Linked DNA regions of Lonchura striata. The protein of the gene in region 2 purifies or fractionates together with the protein of the main gene of each other region. This does not show direct contact. Links are inferred from orthologs where the notes say so. Each region holds a gene or a part of one and is shown on either strand. Other genes may lie near its edges. The genes, in order: PARP12 and RNF114.

What was found.
Region 1: the proteins of RNF114 (region 2) and PARP12 purify together in Homo sapiens (affinity purification with mass spectrometry; 3 studies listed by BioGRID and IntAct, counting the BioPlex papers as one, with this or other methods). This does not show direct contact. The link is inferred for Lonchura striata from reciprocal best matches to the Homo sapiens genes RNF114 and PARP12.

Annotation. Positions count from the first base shown.
Region 1 is NC_134607.1:18,971,028-18,980,469, reverse strand, and holds the start of PARP12 (protein mono-ADP-ribosyltransferase PARP12), read left to right. Parts: upstream 1-5,797; 5' UTR 5,798-5,805; coding exon 5,806-6,122; intron 6,123-7,089; coding exon 7,090-7,231; intron 7,232-8,785; coding exon 8,786-9,080; intron 9,081-9,442.
Region 2 is NC_134619.1:874,297-882,928, forward strand, and holds the start of RNF114 (E3 ubiquitin-protein ligase RNF114), read left to right. Parts: upstream 1-4,784; 5' UTR 4,785-4,807; coding exon 4,808-4,926; intron 4,927-5,606; coding exon 5,607-5,757; intron 5,758-6,206; coding exon 6,207-6,313; intron 6,314-6,785; coding exon 6,786-6,900; intron 6,901-7,745; coding exon 7,746-7,853; intron 7,854-8,026; coding exon 8,027-8,092; 3' UTR 8,093-8,632. Other genes in the region: SPATA2 (spermatogenesis-associated protein 2), read right to left, coding at 1-18, 1,344-1,661. UniProt on the Homo sapiens protein: E3 ubiquitin-protein ligase that promotes the ubiquitination of various substrates. In turn, participates in the regulation of many biological processes including cell cycle, apoptosis, osteoclastogenesis as well as innate or adaptive immunity.

The DNA.
Region 1 (9,442 bases), on a different chromosome or scaffold from region 2:
ATATTTAAGACAACATGTACATCCAGTACATTGTTGCAAGAAGCTTTTGAAAGCAGCTGATTGTTGCTTGCTTTTGATGAAATCCTTTGCTCCTCCTGTTTATCCCGTGCCACCACAAATAGCTGCTGCTGGTCTCCAAATCAATACATGGTGACATCCTGGGTGATGTGTCAGTGCACGAACATTTATGAATTTAGCTGATGAACACAGAGAAAAGAAAATTAACTCATAGAAGAAAAAGCCACAAGACAACCTTGGGAGTTTTCACTGCAACAAGGAAGTTTCAACGAAAAGTAGGGATTAGCAGCTGGAAAATAAAGCTGGAAGTTTCTGATTTCTTGCAAAAGCAGTTTTAAGTTGGGTTTTTTTTTTGTTTTTTTTTTTTCCCAATCAGTTTAACCTTATAAAAATGACAACCATCTAGCCATAATATAGCAAGGGTTTTTTGAGCTACTACGTGCAGACATAGCATTTTCATTCATAAGTATTGCCTGATATCATGAACATATCTCTTCATAGAGCTGATAGAGGTTAATCCTTACCAATGGAATTTCATATTTTGTCCAGCAGAGGATGAAACACCACATGATGAGGGCAACTTTTGTATTGTTGCTAATTGCAGTGCAGAATGAAATGTGACAGGATTCAGTAACTGTCCTGGTCCCTGACAAGTTACTTTTTATTTTTTACTCCCAAGAAACTTTGAAAAAACTTTGAAAAACAGTTAAGTTAGGTCTGAAATGTTAGGTCTGCATGCATGATAAGCAAATCATACAAAGATAAGCGGTTTGGTGGCAACTCCTACGTTAATGAAAATAGAGTTGATGTTCACTATCTGTCAACAGGGAGGTCACTCCCACCTGAAAGTGGAATGCTTAAAGGAAGAATTAACAGACACATTGAGATTCAGTTTGTTAAAACTGTAGATAATACAGACAGTGGATAATACAGTAGCAAATGCAGGAAAAACTGCTGCAAGATCAGCAATAGGCTTCTGACTTCGGCCAATTTACTGCTCATTTGAGGATCACTGTAGATTTAAAGAGGCTTCTTAAGATGTTTCTGAAAGGTTGAGAAAGCCAGTGTACAAGATTATGGGTATATGTGAACACATTATCTTTTTGAGAGTATGAAAAAGAACAAAAGCATAAGGCTTACACAATAAACAGACATTTACAGTGGCACAAGCAATAAAATGTTCAACAGAATAAGACTAGAAGTGTGCCAGTGACAAATAACAGCATCATTAACTGTAGAGTGAATTTTCAGCCCCAATTTTTTTTTATTTTCACAAGCAAGACCTCTTGAAACTTATCTAATTAACCAAACTGTATGCAACACAATTTTTTGCATATTATATTAGGCTGGTTTATTATTATAAAACAGACAATTCGTCCTAGATGCTGCCCAGACTATGTGCTTGCCTGTGAAAATATATGTTTACATTTGTATCCTGAGGCAAGAGCAAAAAATGAGGATTTATCCTGCTCTTTGCAGAGTCTGCAAGATCCCTGGGACAGCCAACAGCCCCACAGTCTGGTGCTTTTCACATACTGCAACAGAACTGAGTTTCCTGTTACTTGCTTTCAAGTTGTGGGTGCATGTGTTACCTGTGGGATGGCTGATTTTTAGGTTAACATGACACTAGGAGACTCTTGGGATGGTAGCTGTAAGGTCCATATGCTGTCAATTAGTACAGATTTCAGAAACACTAGCTGTAGGTGAAGAAATTAGAGAAGTACACAGAAATAATAGGTTGATGGAACTGATTACAAGTATACAAGACCAAAGACTGCATGGCCTTCGTATACAAGACCAAAGACTGCATGGCCTTCAAATAAAACAATCAAAACAAATCTGAGCAAAGACCAAATTAAATGTGGAATCCCAACATATCAATTATTTGGAATAAAATTTTACCCATTTTGATGAAGGTGGATGGGACACCTGTATTTAACCCAGAAAAGGAACATATATAAATTATATGTGTTTGATGAACAGCAAATACAAGCCATAATAAACCAGCCAGTTGCAGACAAAAGAATGGAAAGTTTAGCTGTGTTTAACTATGTTGCCAGACCATCAGTGGGACAACAACTAACCCTCAATTGTGTGTTTAAATGTAGGTTGACAGGCAACCAAAAACAGCTGCAAGCAAACATATCACACTTCTGTCTTCTTCTGCCCATTTTCTTTACATCTCCCACAACAGACAATACAAAGCCAGGAGTTTCACCATGCTAGCTGGAAGGAAGACTGAAATACGTGGATGGGGTGGGAAGTGGAGGCATCATGCACCTAGCAACAATGGATGTTTTAAAGATGCATATGAAAATTCACAGGAAAATCATTAAATTACTACATTTTGAATATTGATGCAAACAAGATTAAGAAATGATGCCACAGTTCAAATTAACACAACTATCCATAAATTGTTCCTAAAAATAAAGATGTCAGTCTAATGACTGACATCTGCTAATTTCTAAAGTAAAGTTTTCATAGCGCAATACATCAGATTTTAACAAAGGTGGCTCACTAAAATTGCAGTACCTAAAGTCCCACAGTTATGAAAACCCCATGTGGTCTGAGTTCAGCAGCTGTTTAGAAGCTTTAGGAACTGCTTAGAGGGAGTTTATTTCAGGACCAATGTGCACAGCAGTCATTACTGCAGGTAGAGCAGCTCATATGCAATTATGCTACAATGACATTTAAGAAAACAGCCTTACCTTTAATTACAGTATTTGAGAGATGAAGAGGAGCCACTTTCCTTAGGTGCCCTTCATGGCTAATGGCAGTTAATTTTATAAATTAAAATTGACTTTTCTGTTAGCTGATAATTCTTCTTCTGAAGAAGAAAGTACAATTTTGCTTATATATAATTCATAGGTGGGGAAGTTGTATCAAATCAAAGGGGTACTTTTATTCTTCCTGAGGAACATGCCACAAAACAAGCTACAAGAAACTTGTGTGAGAAAGAATAATTTATGATTTATTTTGGGTATGAATTCAGACTTGGGAAGGTGCTGTAATTCAAAGGCATCTCTGCAAACCCTCTCTCTGCATCAATCATTGCTTGTTTTCATACTTTTACTTTTGTTCTCCATGAGAAAGAGACAGAGTTATAGCTCTACTCCACAGCCTCAAAAAAACTCACTCAGGAGTTCCTGCAGAGCAGGAACAGCCATGTGAACTTCCCTGTGATACACATGCCAACATTTTGGAATGAATTGCAATGGTGTAAAGCTACCTGAAATCACCCCTCCAACCCTGATCTTACACTGCTCTTCTTTCTTGGTACTCCTCTCTACATAATGTTGACATTGGCATAGTCATTCATACCAATTTTATCATTAAAAAATCACCATATTTCTGCCAAATGAATGGGGTTTTTTAGATGCATGAGGAAAGAAACTCTGAAAGGAAGATACAATTGAAACAGCTACCTGGACTGTACAGTGATGTTGGGACAGATCTTTAAGATGTAAAAAGTTGGGAACTGGCTTGATAGGATGGATTTTGGGTCAGAAAAAGTAAATAGATGCTAGGGAGAATTAGAGTTATTGAGTACAATGCTGCTTCAATGTTTTTTATGCTAAAGTGTTCCCTGAGTTTTGGTTCAGTCAAGATATCTCCCACTGATGGGGCACTTATCTAATGCATCTATCCAGTAATTTAAGACCATTAGACAAAACAGCAAAATAAGGAGGCTTCCACCCATATTCTCTTTCAGTGATGAAACAGCTGGATTTGGGTTTGGACCAGATGACCTCCTATGGCCTCTTTCCACCTCAACTGTTCTGTGATACTGTCAATCACTATCAGTGGTGTGTGATCTCTCTCTTTAAAGTGCCTTACCACCAGGTGACCGTCAGTGACAAATGTGACCATCTGCAGGTCTGCCCCTCAAGGAAAGACTGTCTTAAGGAAGAAAGGATGACAAAGACACTCCAATCTACGGAATTACTTCCACAGAACATGTGACTCTCCAGCCTCTCATGTTGTCTCCTAAACATTTGTTGATGGCCTGTCACAGGCAAGCTACAGATAGATCTCTGTGAAAGAGTACCTGTACTCTGGCTGAGTAGAGCTGGTTTTCCATTCAGTGCACTTTTCTAGATTCTACTTTTTGTCATTTCCTTCCTGATCTCACAGGGCAAGCAGGAAGTAAGATGAGGCAAGGGGAAAGGCACAACTAGACTGGCAAAAGAAGAAAGGAGACAGGACTCTTGTTCGATGAGAACCACCATCAGTGAGAGTCCCCATGGCTTCCACTGCTAGTCTGACTGAAATGATGGCACTTTAGCATCATTGTTCTGCCACCATTTAAAGCATGCTTCTGAGTGACTGTTGTTTTAAATTTGGTCCCTATATGTCCAATTTAATAAACCACAAGATTTAAAATTTAGCAGCAATTTTAATTGAGGCATAAAATAATAATGCAATCAAATATAATTCAGTAGTTACAAAAAGAAATTTGGCAGTGGTGTGGATAAAGCATAAGCAAAACTGACCAGGGTACAGGGAGGACTTTCTACCCTGCCTCCCATACGAAGGATCCAAACACAACGTATATACTGTGTGCTAATACATATTCATCAATAGTTCCATAAATCTCCTCCCATTTTTCATTCTTGAAATCTACATCACTCTACTGCACAGCGCGTGCTCCCATTGTTGCTATGGGGTCTTTTGGTCTCTTCAGGGCTCTTCTAGGAGGAAGGCTGAAGGTCTTCCTCACATGTCCTCTGGGATAACCTGGCAGGTGGCACATGCACATTAATCTTGGTGTTATACAAGTAAGCACTATGTTCCAATTAAACCTCATTTATTTCATAGATAAGACCACTATTTTAGACTCCCTGTCTGGAATGGTCCCAGCTTTATTCATATTCAAGGTCAATCTTGCTCTGGGAGTTGTCTTTTAACTTCAGTTTATGCCAGTTTTGGTTTGGGAGTCAGTTCCTGACTTCCTCCATTTCCAATGCCAAATCCAACTCCTGCACCCTATTTCCCACATGTATTCCCATCTGCTTCATAACACTAATCACATATACTTTTCCAATTATTTTCCCAAATTTATTGATATAATTACGATTTTGTTAGCACAGATCACAACCATTTATAACACTGTGATGCAGAACCAGGAGTGTCAAAACGACCCAGGAAAAGGCACTTAATTAAAAGAAGGGCACCCTTCTAAGGAGTCTGTGACTTCCCAGAGGATGAGGACATTGCTTGGCCGCACTGGTGCCATGGCTGCTGTGCAGGCAGAAGCAGTGGTGTACCACCGTGTAGCAGGTGCCACTACGAGCACTGCAAGCAGGGCAGGGCAGTGTGCCTACACGTGTGACCATGACCGAGCTTTTAATTTAGATGTTGAAAGAAGCGTGAGAGCAGCCGTCACGATGTATCGTCAGGAAAGTGGCACAGGTCAGAAACCTTAACTGAGATGTTTTTGACGGCAGAATTCACACACCAGCCTTCTCCCTGTAACTTAAGGTTAAATCACCTGGCTGATGCTCCATTCATCCCTGGGTCCGCTTTTTCCTATAGGGAATGTGTGACCACCCAGCTGCCATCCCTTTTTGGTGACATGTGATTGAACACGGTCAATACATCCTGAAAGCCAGGCACAGGAGGGAGGAGCAGGGCCGGGTGCCGCTGTCCGTGCGCCGCATCACCCACAGCAAGGCGCTCCCCGGCGGGGGCAGAGCGAACGCCCCGGGCCGAGGCGGTCCCGCTCCTCTCGGGCTCTTTCACTTTCGTTTCCGTTTCCGTCGCTTTCCCGGGAGGCGCTTCCCGGCCATGGCGCTGGCGGTGCAGGCGCTGCGGGTGCTGTGCGCTAGCGGCGGCTGCCTGGAGCAGGGCGAGCTGCGGCGGCGGCTGCCGGCGCGGCCCTCGGCCGAGCAGCTGGCGGCCGTGCTGCGGGACGCGCAGCGCTTCACGCTGGTGCGCCGGCCCGGCCGGGCGGCGGCCGCGGCCGAGGCCGAGGTGGCCGTGGTGGTGGCCACCAGCCCCGTGCGGCTGTGCCCGGAGCACGTCGCGGGCTGCCCGGGGCAGTGCGGGCAGCTGCACATCTGCAAGTACCACCTGAAGGGCTTCTGCCGCAACCAGCTGGCCAGGTGAGGGGCGGGCGCGGCCGCCATGGCGGGGGCTCGGCCTTGGGCAGGGCGTGGAGCGATCAGGAGAGGCCTTTCCGCGTGGAAATGCTCGCTGGCCGTGAGCACCCCAATTTATTTGTGCGTGTGTTGTTGCAAAGGAGGCAGACACAGGCGGTTGTTTCATAGCTTTGGGTCGCAGCACTTCCTCCCTGGCTCGTCACCCTGGCGCTTCCTTGTCCGTGGGCAGGGCTGTGCCAGGGGAAAGCTGAGTGTCCCCCCGCACATCCCTGAGCTGCGGGACCCTGGGTGATGTGCTAAAGCTGAGTGTCCCCGCACATCCCTGTGCTGCGGGACCCTGGGCAGTGTGCTAAAGCTGAGTGTCCCTGCACATCCCTGAGCTGCGGGACCCTGGGTGATGTGCTAAAGCTGAGTGTCCCCGCACATCCCTGAGCTGCGGGATCCTGGGTGATGTGCTAAAGCTGAGTGTCCCCGCACATCCCTGTGCTGCGGGACCCTGGGTGATGTGCTAAAGCTGAGTGTCCCCGCACATCCCTGAGCTGCGGGACCCTGGGCAGTGTGCTAAAGCTGAGTGTCCCTGCACATCCCTGAGCTGCGGGACCCTGGGCAGTGTGCTAAAGCTGAGTGTCCCCCCGCACATCCCTGTGCTGCGGGACCCTGGGTGATGCACTCAGGGGCTGAGAGGGGATGATGCTCTGGAGCTTTGGTGGTTTTGTGGTTGTGAGCTGCAGGTCCAAAATGCCGATATTGTCAGAGTGCACTAAGGCTATAATGACTGTGAATCAGAAGCAGCGTGGCAATTATCCTCAGAATAATTATGTAATCTGCTTTGCAAATTACATAATGGCTTTATAGAAGAGCAATGTGGGTTTTTCTGAAACGAGCTAATTTGGTGTGCTTTTCCAGCTTTCAGTGTAATGCCCATGGGGTGTCAAAATATGCCAGTCATTTTGCTGTTCGGTTTCTTGAGTTCTAGGAAGGGATGCAGGTTTGTTCACAGCTTCCACTCAGACCACAATCTCCGTGTTCTAAAGCAATATGGACTTGAGAATTTAAACCATGATGAACTTTGCCAGCTTCTGCTTCAAAATGACCCTTCCCTCTTACCAGAGGTGAGTATTACTGTAACAGCTTCTTAGCCTTGTGTTTCAGTGGGCATGACAATATGGAAGAGGCTTTACAGAGATGGAGATATTGAGTGTCAATTTAGTTAGCTTAATGCAAATCTAAAAATAAATCTGCATCCTCTGTTCTCACCTGTGGTGGATTGACCCTAGCTGGCAGCTAAGCTCTTGAACAGACCCTCACCCACTCCTCACTCCCCCACCACAAGCAGAGGAGATGAGCATTAACTAGAAGAAAAAAAGTGGCAAAACCTGTGAATGGAGATAAAGACATTGTAGCAAGGGGAGGAAAGCAGGGAGAAGTGTTGCAAAAGAGAACTTCTGCTTCACCACCTCAGAGCCCAACAAGTCTCTGAGCAAGTGCTACCTTGTAAGAAGGACCCATCTCCCCCTTCTTTCACCTTCCCTCTGTCCCTTTCCTCACTATTTTTTTTTTTTTTTTTGAGGATGACATTATGTGGCATGGAATATCCCTCTGGCCAATTTGGACTATTTCCTAGTTTTGGCTGGAATACAGTTAATTTTCTTTCTAGTAGCTGGTACAATGCTGTGTTTTGAATTCAGGATGAGAACAATGTTGATAACACTCATGTTTTTGGTTTTGCTGAGCAGTGCTTGCTCTAAGTCAAGGACTTTTCAGCTTTTCATACTGCCCTGCTAGCCAGTAGACTGGGAGTGCACAAGAAGCTGGAAGGGAATGCAGCCAAGAGAGCTGACCCAAACTGGACAGAAGGATATTCTATACCATATGAAATAATTCTGAACAGTGAAACTGAGGGGAGGTGGCCCAGGGATGGTGGTACATTGAGGGGTCCGGCTGGGCTTTGGTCAGTGAGTGGTGAGCAGTTTCATTGTGCATCACTTGTTTTGTCTATTGTTTTATCATTATTATCTCCTCTTCCTTTTATGCCATATAAACTGTTTACCTCAACCCTGGAGGGCGGGAGTGAGAGGCTGTGTGGTGTTTATTTGTTCTGGTTTCAGTTAAGGTAGAGTTAATTTTCTTACTGGTATCATGAACAGGGCTGTATTTTGGATTTAACCCACTGAGTGCTTACTTTCAGTCAAGGCCTTTTCAGCTTCCCATGCTCTGCTAGTGAGGAGGTGCACGAGGAGCCAGGAGGGAGCATGGCCAGGACAACTGACCCAAACAGACCAAACCAATACTGTTTTGGTCACAAACCCAAAACATAGTGTGGTATGGTCTGCTATGAAGAAAGTTAACTCCATCCCAGCCATATCCAGTATGTCTTACCATCAAGTTGGGATGAAAAAGATTCCAAAACTATTCCAAAACTAGAAAATCGAAGAAGTGTGACTTAGCACTAAGTTCCATCTTGAGAATGTCTGTAAGAATGTTTCTAAACATTAGCAGGGCAAAGGAAAAGCTATCAAGCAGTCATTTGGAAAACAAGAAGAAAGAAGAAATGTTTCTGTCAAAAGCAAATGTATGCACATTGTAGCCAAATAATGGATTCAAATAGTCTAAATAAGCACATTGTACTTTGATGTTTAAATTCTTTTTTTCTTCTCCTTCCCAAGGTCTGCTTGCATTATAACAAAGGTGATGGACTTCATGGATCTTGTTCCTTTAAAACATCTTGCACCAAACTTCATGTTTGCCAGTACTTTTTGCGGGGTCAGTGCAGATTTGGCAGCAGCTGCAAACGGTCCCATGACTTATTAAATCCAGAATGTTTTGAGAAACTGGAGAGACAGGGGATGAGCTCAGACATTATTAAGAAACTACCTTCCACTTATAGAAACATGTATGACATAAAAAATGGCAACAGAAACATGTATGACATAGAAGATGTCAAATCTTCACCATGCAAAGGTAAATAACATGATCTTTTGAATTCATCAGAAGAGTCATGGTAGTGAATTTAATATTTTTGCTGGTGTCATTAAGAAAACTGAATTTACATTTTGGTTTGTACCTATCTCACTGACAAAGGTCTTTGTCTTGACAAATGAAATCAAGAGTGGTTCCTGAGAAATAGAGTGCTGATGTTAATGAAATTCTTAAACTTGGGATTAAAAAAGAGTAACAGGAACTGGAAATAGGGAGCGCTATAATTTTGGAGTTTTTTAGGTAAAATACATAAAGGTAGAGACCTGTTTAAGAATAGGAGTGGTGGTTGTCTGATTATGAGCTATTTAATTCTTTGTCTTTAATGTAGTGATTGTCTAGCACAA
Region 2 (8,632 bases):
AAAGGGTCCAGTGTAGGTCTGAGGGCCGGGGGGAATAAAAGGAAAACTGGGTTACAAATTCAGCGGTGGACTGGATGTTCGGATAATTCAGTGACAGAGACCGTATAATTAAATACAACAATAACGACTCTGAACACATGCAACTGCCTTGGCAAGATGAGCTCCATTTCTGCATCCCTCCTGCTCAGCAGATGGAAATTCCACATGAGGGAAATTCAAAGTAGGAGAGCTTTCATTCAATTTAAAATCCTGATTTGCATAATGTCCTCCCTGGTGATTTAAATCATTCTGCTCTGCACTTATATTAACTTTAATGCATACCGGACATGAATTTCTGAATTTACAGAAAGCCTGCCATGAAAGGCAAAAAGGTCAGGATTTGGGAACCACCCCATGCAGGGACAAGCTGCAGCTAACAGGAAATCAGAATTACTGCAGAGTGTCAAACTCTAATTCAGCCTTAAATATGCTTGAGGTGCACTCTTCTTTGTGTAGTTACTACACAGTTTCAACTGTCAGTTTTATTTAACTTAATATTGATTGAAAAACTCCCACAAAAAGATCCCCAAAAGCAGAGACATGAGATTCTGCAAGCTGAAATGCCCTCAGCACCTGAGGGATGTGCTTAGCCTGTTCTGAGTGCAGGCAGGAGCAGTCTGCCCATCACAGGCAAAAGATAAAACACAAAACTCAACTGCAGAGAGCTCCCAATGGGACTGCAGCACCCAAGCCCAGCAGTGACATCCCACTTTTCCCTCTGGGAACCTGCCTTAGGTAGATGCATTTGAAAGCACCTTAAAATCAAAACATCAGGAACTGAGCACTGACAAGCAGATCAAAGATATTCTGGAAACAACTCTTTTGCAAAAGTTCCTTCACTGTTATCACACAACTTGTGGAAACCTCGGCAAAGCATCCACTTGAACACATGCCCTGGGTTTAATACTTGTGTCCAGTAACAGCTGTGGCAAGACAAGTCAAACTCTGAGTCAGCTTGAATAAATCCAGCTTGACCACCCACCACAGTGAAAGCCTCTCCAAGCAGAAATAAAACAGTGCAGCAGGGGAGGCTGAACAACAACCTTAAATAAGCTCTTCTACTTTATACACATTCTCATTGCAGAAAGTGCTTGTACTTCTGCTCTGGGGATACTCTCATCAGCACAAGCTTCACTTATTTTACACAGGAACTTTCCTATGGCTTCTGTTTACCAACTGTATATCTATATTTATATATAATGCTATAAATGGGAAAAAGAGAAGCCTTCAAAGGAACGAATGAAATGCCTTCACAGAAAGAAAAATAGATCATGTTCTCACTATGGCTACATAAAAAGTCTTACCTTAATGTTTTTGAATTCCTTTTTCCAGGGGTACAGAAAGAGATTAATTCCAAGTGTCTCAAGCATGTTGAATGCATTATGGAGACAATGTAAACTTGAGGATTTCACAGATCTCAGTGAGTTTTCAGCCATCTCGTAAAATTTTATCAACCGGAATCTATAAAAGGGATCAATTTTGGGAAGGCAAAGTAAGGCTGCTGCTGCCACTCGCAAGTACTCATCGTTAATAGGACGCTGCTTGCTGTCAGAGGCGTTCAGTTTGCACTCGTGGAACTGTACATACTTCCTAAATAAATCGTCTTTGTATTTTGTATCCATTGAAATCAGATTTTCCCTCACGCTGGGGGCAGCTACCTCCTCTCTTTCATGGTTATTTGGCAGTGGGTTGGGTAGCTGGCATTAGGAATCTCCAGCAATGGCGACTGTCCTGGAATAAAGACTGAAAAGAAACACAAGTCATCCCAGGTGCACAGAGCCCAGACATCTCCTGCCCCTCACAGAGCTGCAGCTCCCTCACAGCCTCCCCAGGACTCTGAAAAGGCACAGGATCCACGGGAATGCCACCATCCTGCTTCCCAACGTCATTCCCCGCTCGTTTTCCAGGTCCCTGCCCACTCTGCTCATTCTGTGAAAGGATCTGCTTTTCCCCCTCGCCTCCTGTGGCACAGGACTGTCCCTAGGCTGAGCAGGTTTACTGACTTTGCCCTTTGATTTCTAACATTTTCACTGACATTCCTGCTGCTGGTACCTCCAAGCTGGGGCAGCTCCGCAGCCACCTCCAGAAGACCCACTCCCGACTGCTGCAAACCACAGCCCAAATCCCAGCTGAAAGCTGGCAGCTGCAAACACCACTGGGATCTTTTGGCAACAAAGCTACACCTGCCACCTTCAGCTGGTTATGGGAACCGAGTAAAACCATTGCTGTGCTTCTGTCAGTATGCTTTTGTTTACAGGGATAGCTGTTTTTACGGATATACTGATCTGCATTTTCAGTGCACTGAGCTCACACAGCTGAAATAGCTGGTGACAAGAGAATTTCCCAAATGCTGCTTCACCAGAACCAGGGTAATTAACAGGCCAAAAAAGACTCCATCTGCAATGCCTCAGGAACCTGTGATCACAAAGCAGACCACAGGCTTTATTTACTACATGAAAAGACAAACCAGCACCAGCTCTCGACCCCAGGGGAGAGGAGTTGGGAGAAGTCAGTGCACTGTTTCAGATGTAGTCAGTCTCAAACAGCACTTCAGAAAAGACTTTCCACCCTGTATCAACTGCAGCTGCTGGAACACCGATCAACACTCGCGTTGCAGGAAAATACTTGTTAAGAGCAAGACCAACTGAAGGAAAGGAGCCAAAACACAAAACACCAACAACCCAGAGGCCAGGGAAACAAACAAACAACAAAATCAACAGCCTGGCAGTTAACATCCCTCCACGAAAGGCTGTGCTCAGTGCCAGCCCCGTGTGGGGAAAGTTAAGTAGCAGTTCTGCTTCTCCTCCAAGGCACACGCACTCCTGTCAAGAGACAGGCTGTGAATCACAGGAAATGTGGAGTGCTAAATTAACATCTGAGCATAAGGGCCAGGAGCAGTGCCTTCCCTCCCCACATTCCTCCGCAAGTTGTGCAGGATGAAGTCTGCGGACAAAGACAGCAGAGCCTGTTCCTTGGCAAGAAGAGCTGCACGCGAGAATTGCAGAGAGATCTTTGTCTAGCACGCCAGCACAACACCCCCAGGACACGGAGCGATCCTGTGCCGGCATTCAGCACGACAGCCCTGCCATCCCCACTGCCAACACCCACCAAGCAGAGCGCCTGGCGACACGTGAGACACGGCAGGGCCAGCGGGCCCCGGTGACGGGAGAGACCTTCAGGGAGGTCCTGCATCTCCCAGAGCCCGTGGCAGCCCTGACTGCACCCCGTGCCCGGCACCTGAGCCAGGGCACAGCTTGGCAGCCAAGCCAGGGCGCAGCACTGTGCCATGGCACAGCCTGGCAGATGTGTCAGGGCACAGTCCAACACCCGAGCCATGGCACAGCCTGGCAGCCAAGCCAGGGCACAGCACTGAGCCATGGCACAGCCTGGCAGATGTGTCAGGGCACAGTCCAACACCCGAGCCATGGCACAGCCTGGCAGCTGAACCAGGGCACAGCACTGTGCCATGGCACAGCCTGGCAGATGTGTCAGGGCACAGTCCAACACCCGAGCCATGGCACAGCCTGGCAGCTGAACCAGGGCACAGCACTGTGCCATGGCACAGCCTGGCAGATGTGTCAGGGCACAGTCCAACACCCGAGCCATGGCACAGCCTGGCAGCTGAACCAGGGCACAGCACTGAGCCATGGCACAGCCTGGCAGCCGTGCCAGGGCTGCTCCAGCCCAGAGCCGCAGGCGGCCCGGCCTCTCGCGGTGCCCGCAGCCCACCCAGCAGCAACATCCATGGTTACGGGCTGCGGAGAGCTCGCGATGCGAGCAGCACGGATAAATATAGGTTTCACAGCTCCCGGCTGCCAGCAGGCACGGAGGAACGCTCTGCTGCAGGTGCTCCGCCGAAGGCCAGCGGCTGCCGGGGCTGCGCGAGCAGCGGCTGCCGAGCGGAGCGCGGTGCAGCTGCTGAGGCAGGACCGTTCCTAACCGTGCCCGGGGCACACCTCCCGGGAGCCAGCGGCCCCGGCCCCGCTGCCCCGCCGGTGCCACAGACCCGAGGGGCAGCGGGGGCACACGGGGCGAAGCCCGCTTGTCCCGCGGTGCGCCCTCCGCCCAGCGCTCCCGGTGCCGCCGCGGGACACGGCGCCGCAACCGGCGGCAGCGGGGGCAGCCCGCGCCGCCGGGGCCGGGACACTTGTTGCAGACCGGGCCGAGGAGCTCCGGGCACCGGCCGGGCCTCCGCGGCGGTACCGGCACCGGGAGCTCCCGCCGCCCCCGGCCGCCCCGCCGCCCGCCCGCCCGCCGCGGCCAAGCCCCCGCTCTGCGGCCTGCCCCGTCCCTCACCGCTCCGCTCCGCCGCCGGGAGCCGCCGCCGCTCCGGCGGAAGCGCCCGGGATGTGCCCGGTCCGGAGGCGCTGCCCGGCAGAGCCGCGGAGGCCCGGCCGGTGCCGCGGACGGAGCGCGCCGCGCTCACGGCTCGGGCAGGGCCGCGGCGGCGGCGGCGGCCCGGAACTGAACGGCGGGGCGGGAGCGCTTCCGCCGCGTGACGTCACGGGGCGGGGCCCGGCCCGCGGGCTGCGGGGGGACGAGCGGCGGCGGAGCGGCGGCGGGGCCGTGACACCACCGGCCGGCGGGGCCACGGCGTGCCGGAGCGGGGCTGCACCGGCCGGGCTGGGCCCCGCCCAGCGGCGGCTCCCGGGCCCGGCGGCGGCTCCCGGGCCCGGCGGCCCCGCCCGGCACGGCGGCCCCGCCCGCCCGGCGCGCCCCGCCCGCCGCCGGGCCCGGCCGCGCGTGCGCAGCGCCGCCCCCGCGGAAGATGGCGGCGGGCGGGCCGTCGCGGGCCCCCGAGCGGCGGCCGGACCCGCTGTCCCGCCTCACCTGCCCCGTGTGCCTCGAGGTGTTCGACTGCCCGGTGCGCGTCCCCTGCGGACACGTGTGAGCGCCGCCGGGGAGCGGGACCGGGACCGGGGCATGCGGGACCGGGAGCGGGGGATGCGGGAGGAGCCGCGGGGGATGCGGGAGCGGGGGATGCGGAGGAGCCGCCGCTCGGGCCCCGCCGTGCTGAGGGCGGCTCCGTGCCCCGGCACCGGGGCCAGGGGCGGCCTTGAAGGGAGAAAGCGAAAGAAAAGCGGGGGAAAGGAAGCCTGCGTTCTTCTGTTCCGCTTCCCTGACGGGACGAGGGCAGCGGCTCTCACCGCCGCAGGGCAGGCTGAGGCGGGGTGCGGGGGTGAAATCCCTCCCTGGCACAGCCGGGGCTGCCCTGGATCCCTGGCAGTGCCCCAGGCCAGGCTGGACGCGGTTTGGAGCAGCTGGGGCAGTGGGAGGTGTCCCTGACATGGCAGGGCTGGCACTGGGCGGACTTTAAGGTCCCTTCCAACCCAAACCGTTCCATGATTCTGTCCAGAAGCTGAGGGCACAGACCACTGTCCAACAGTAAACACTTCTGGGTGTGACAGCCTGGGATCCCTCATGCCCAGGAGCCAGCAGCTCCTTCTTACCCATCTTTATCAGTCTCAAGCCCCTGCTACGCCTTTGGGCAGAGCTGTGCAAGGGCAGCAGGCACTGCGGGTGCCCAGAGGGCTGTCTCACCACCTCCTCCTTTTCTCCCGCCTCAGCTTCTGCACACCGTGCCTGCAGGAATGTCTGAAGCCCAAAAAGCCAGTCTGTGGGGTGTGCCGCAGCACCCTGTCGCCTGGGAGCAGAGCTCTGGACTTGGAAAAGCAAATTGAAACTACAGAAACCACTTGCAACGGCTGCAATAAAAAAGTATGAAAGCGTTTGGAAATTCAGTACATGAGATGTGTCCCCCTAGGGGAAGATGAACTGCTTCCTCCTCAGCTTTCTGCAAAATCAGGTCAAAGTGTTTGTTCTGATATGTGCTAAAGCTGTTTGATATAGGCAGCACACAGATGTTGACATTCTTTCCACAGTTTTTTGTTGTTACCTCTTCAGGAAATGAATTTCTAATGAAAGATTCTGATTATAAAGTTACAGTGGGATGTTGCTGCTGTGAGCAGGGGTGCATGGTGACATACCACAGAGAGCAGAGTTACACCTTAACTAATCTGTAATCTCAAACGTTTTCTGCTTGGCCAGCTGAGGTATTTGGAGTTCCTGCTTTACCTCTTGTGCTGAAAGCTGCTGGCTTTACACGTTTGCTGCTTTGTTCAGGAGGTGCTGTGAGCTCACCTGCTGTGTTGTTGTTGCCTGCACAGATGTACCTGTCCAAGATGCGCAGCCACGCAGCCTCCTGCTCCAAGTACCAGAATTACATCATGGAAGGTGTGAAAGCTGTGACGAAAGAGCCCCTCCACAGCACCAGGTAATGCCTCTGCTCTGCAATCCTGCCCTTCTCTGGCACAACAAAGAGTTTGGAAGTAAAAGCAGACTTCACCTCTTTGCTCAGTTTGGGTGCTGATTTTTATGGAGTTAAAAACTGAGCCTTGATCCTGCAGCTGGCTGTGCCCAGGTAAATTCTGCTGCTTCTGCTTGGACACCTCTAAGAACAGGGCATTCTGTAGGTGCAGCTGTTTTCTAAAATACCTTGGTCTCCTGATTGTACTCGCCCACAGAGGAGGGAAGTGGGAATTGGTGACTAGTGAGTGGTGCCCTGGCATTGGAGAAAACTGATAAATGGCACTTAGAACATTTGCAGAAAAACTGTAATTCAGTCTAAACACCGAGTTCCCTAAAATACTGTTAGGAGTTTACAAACCGATTGCTAAATTAATTGCATACATAAATTACTGCCTTGAATAATCTGTATTTGTAAATAACCTTTTCTCCCCAACCAGGAGCTTCCCGAATCGCTTCACCTTCCCCTGCCCGTACTGCAGTGAGAAGAACTTTGATCAAGAAGGGCTGGTTGAGCACTGCAAAGCTTTGCACAGCATGGATGCAAAACAAGTGGTAATAAAAAGTCTTGGTGCAAGAATTGCAATTAAGTCTGGTCTTAAAGCCCTTTGAAACAGTAAGTTAGAGACTTTTGAATTAAGTAGGTGTAATTTCTGCTGTTCAGTCAGTGTGGCTGTGCTGGTCATGCCTCTAAGTCTGGTGTGGTTCTGCTCTCACTTTTCAGTGGCTTTCTGCACTGCAGCTGGGCCACATCCTCTTTTCATCCTTGAAAAATGGCACACATTCAAAGTGAATTAGGCACAGCAAAGCAGTAAAATATAATTTAAAAAAATACTAGACATTTAATTTTCTCCTTGTTTTCCCCCTTGTTTTCAGCAAGAAGATACTATTAACTGCTAGGAGAAATGCTTGTGAAAAATAGCGTATCATTCTATCTGTGATACTTCCTTTTATGTAAGAGGAATTGCAAAACGTGGAATTGAATTGGAAACTTTCATTTTTCTGGGAAGTTTTTTGGAATTCGAGATAATTCAGGAAAATAAAGTTCCTTTTTTCTCTTGGCAAGAAGTGAACTTTGTAGAGAAGACCAAGGAAACTTTCCTGCATGGTGAAATAAAGGATGAAATCTTCTAAAGCAGGAGGCTTTAATGAGTTCTGATTTTCAGAACATGGGAGAAGAGTAAGCCATGCCATTTCAGGAATCTAAGACATGAATTAGAATTACTCAGGGTTATCTGAGGCTTTTTCAGTAAATGTCCCAGCAAGTCAGTGGCCATCACTTTGCATGGAGAGCAGTGACAGCACAAACCTTGAGCTCCACTCCCCCAGGGCTGTCCCTCCCTTCTGCTGTCAGCGTTTAAGCACTGAAGCACTGGACCTAACTGGCTTTTTCTTTGAAGGTTTGCCCAATTTGTGCCTCAATGCCGTGGGGGGACCCCAATTACAGGAGTGCTAACTTCATGGAGCACCTGCAGAGGCGGCACCGCTTTTCCTACGACACCTTTGTGGTAGGTGTTGGCTCCCCCTGGCAGCGCAGCCGGGGCTCCTGGAGCTCCCTGTGCCACCCCAGCACATCCCTGTGCCATCCCTGGCGTGCCCAGGGCTCAGGGGCCTGCAGCTCCTGCTGCTGCCACGGCACTGCAGCATGGCTCTGCAGCGAAAGCCTTTCTGCCTCTTGCAGGACTACGATGCTGATGAGGATGATATGATGGCACAGGTTTTGATGCGCTCTCTGCGGGATAAGTGATCCAGCCAGAAGATTTCCTGCAAACCCAAGCTTCCACGAGGGGGAAATGCCCAGCATCCTTGCACTTCTCCCTGCACATCCCAAGATTAACTCAGGCATCCAGAAGTATAGAAGACTTTAATCCTATCTCAGTTTTAAATCCTGGTTTGATATTTCTGTGCCATTCAGTCCTTTGGTATCATGGTCTCTGACATTTAGCCCTGTCAGCCCCATTTTTCTACTTGCTTAGACTCAGTTTCATGTAGATCAACACGTGGGAACCAAGGCTTTTACCTTTACCTATGCCTATAGGTTTCTTTGGAAGTTGTGTTTATTTCACTGTCTAGAATCAAAAACATTCCAAATGGAATGGCCTGAACTAGTTAATAAATATCTTCCCAATCTCATTTACCTATCTCAAGTGATTGTATGTGAGGTGTACTGGTAGCTCTGTCCCCTTTAGTTAGACTTCAGGTGCTAACTGTAACTGTCAGACCAGCTTCATTTAAGTGACCTCTGATACATGTGATTCCATAATGTTTCCCAGTGTTTCAATCCTTA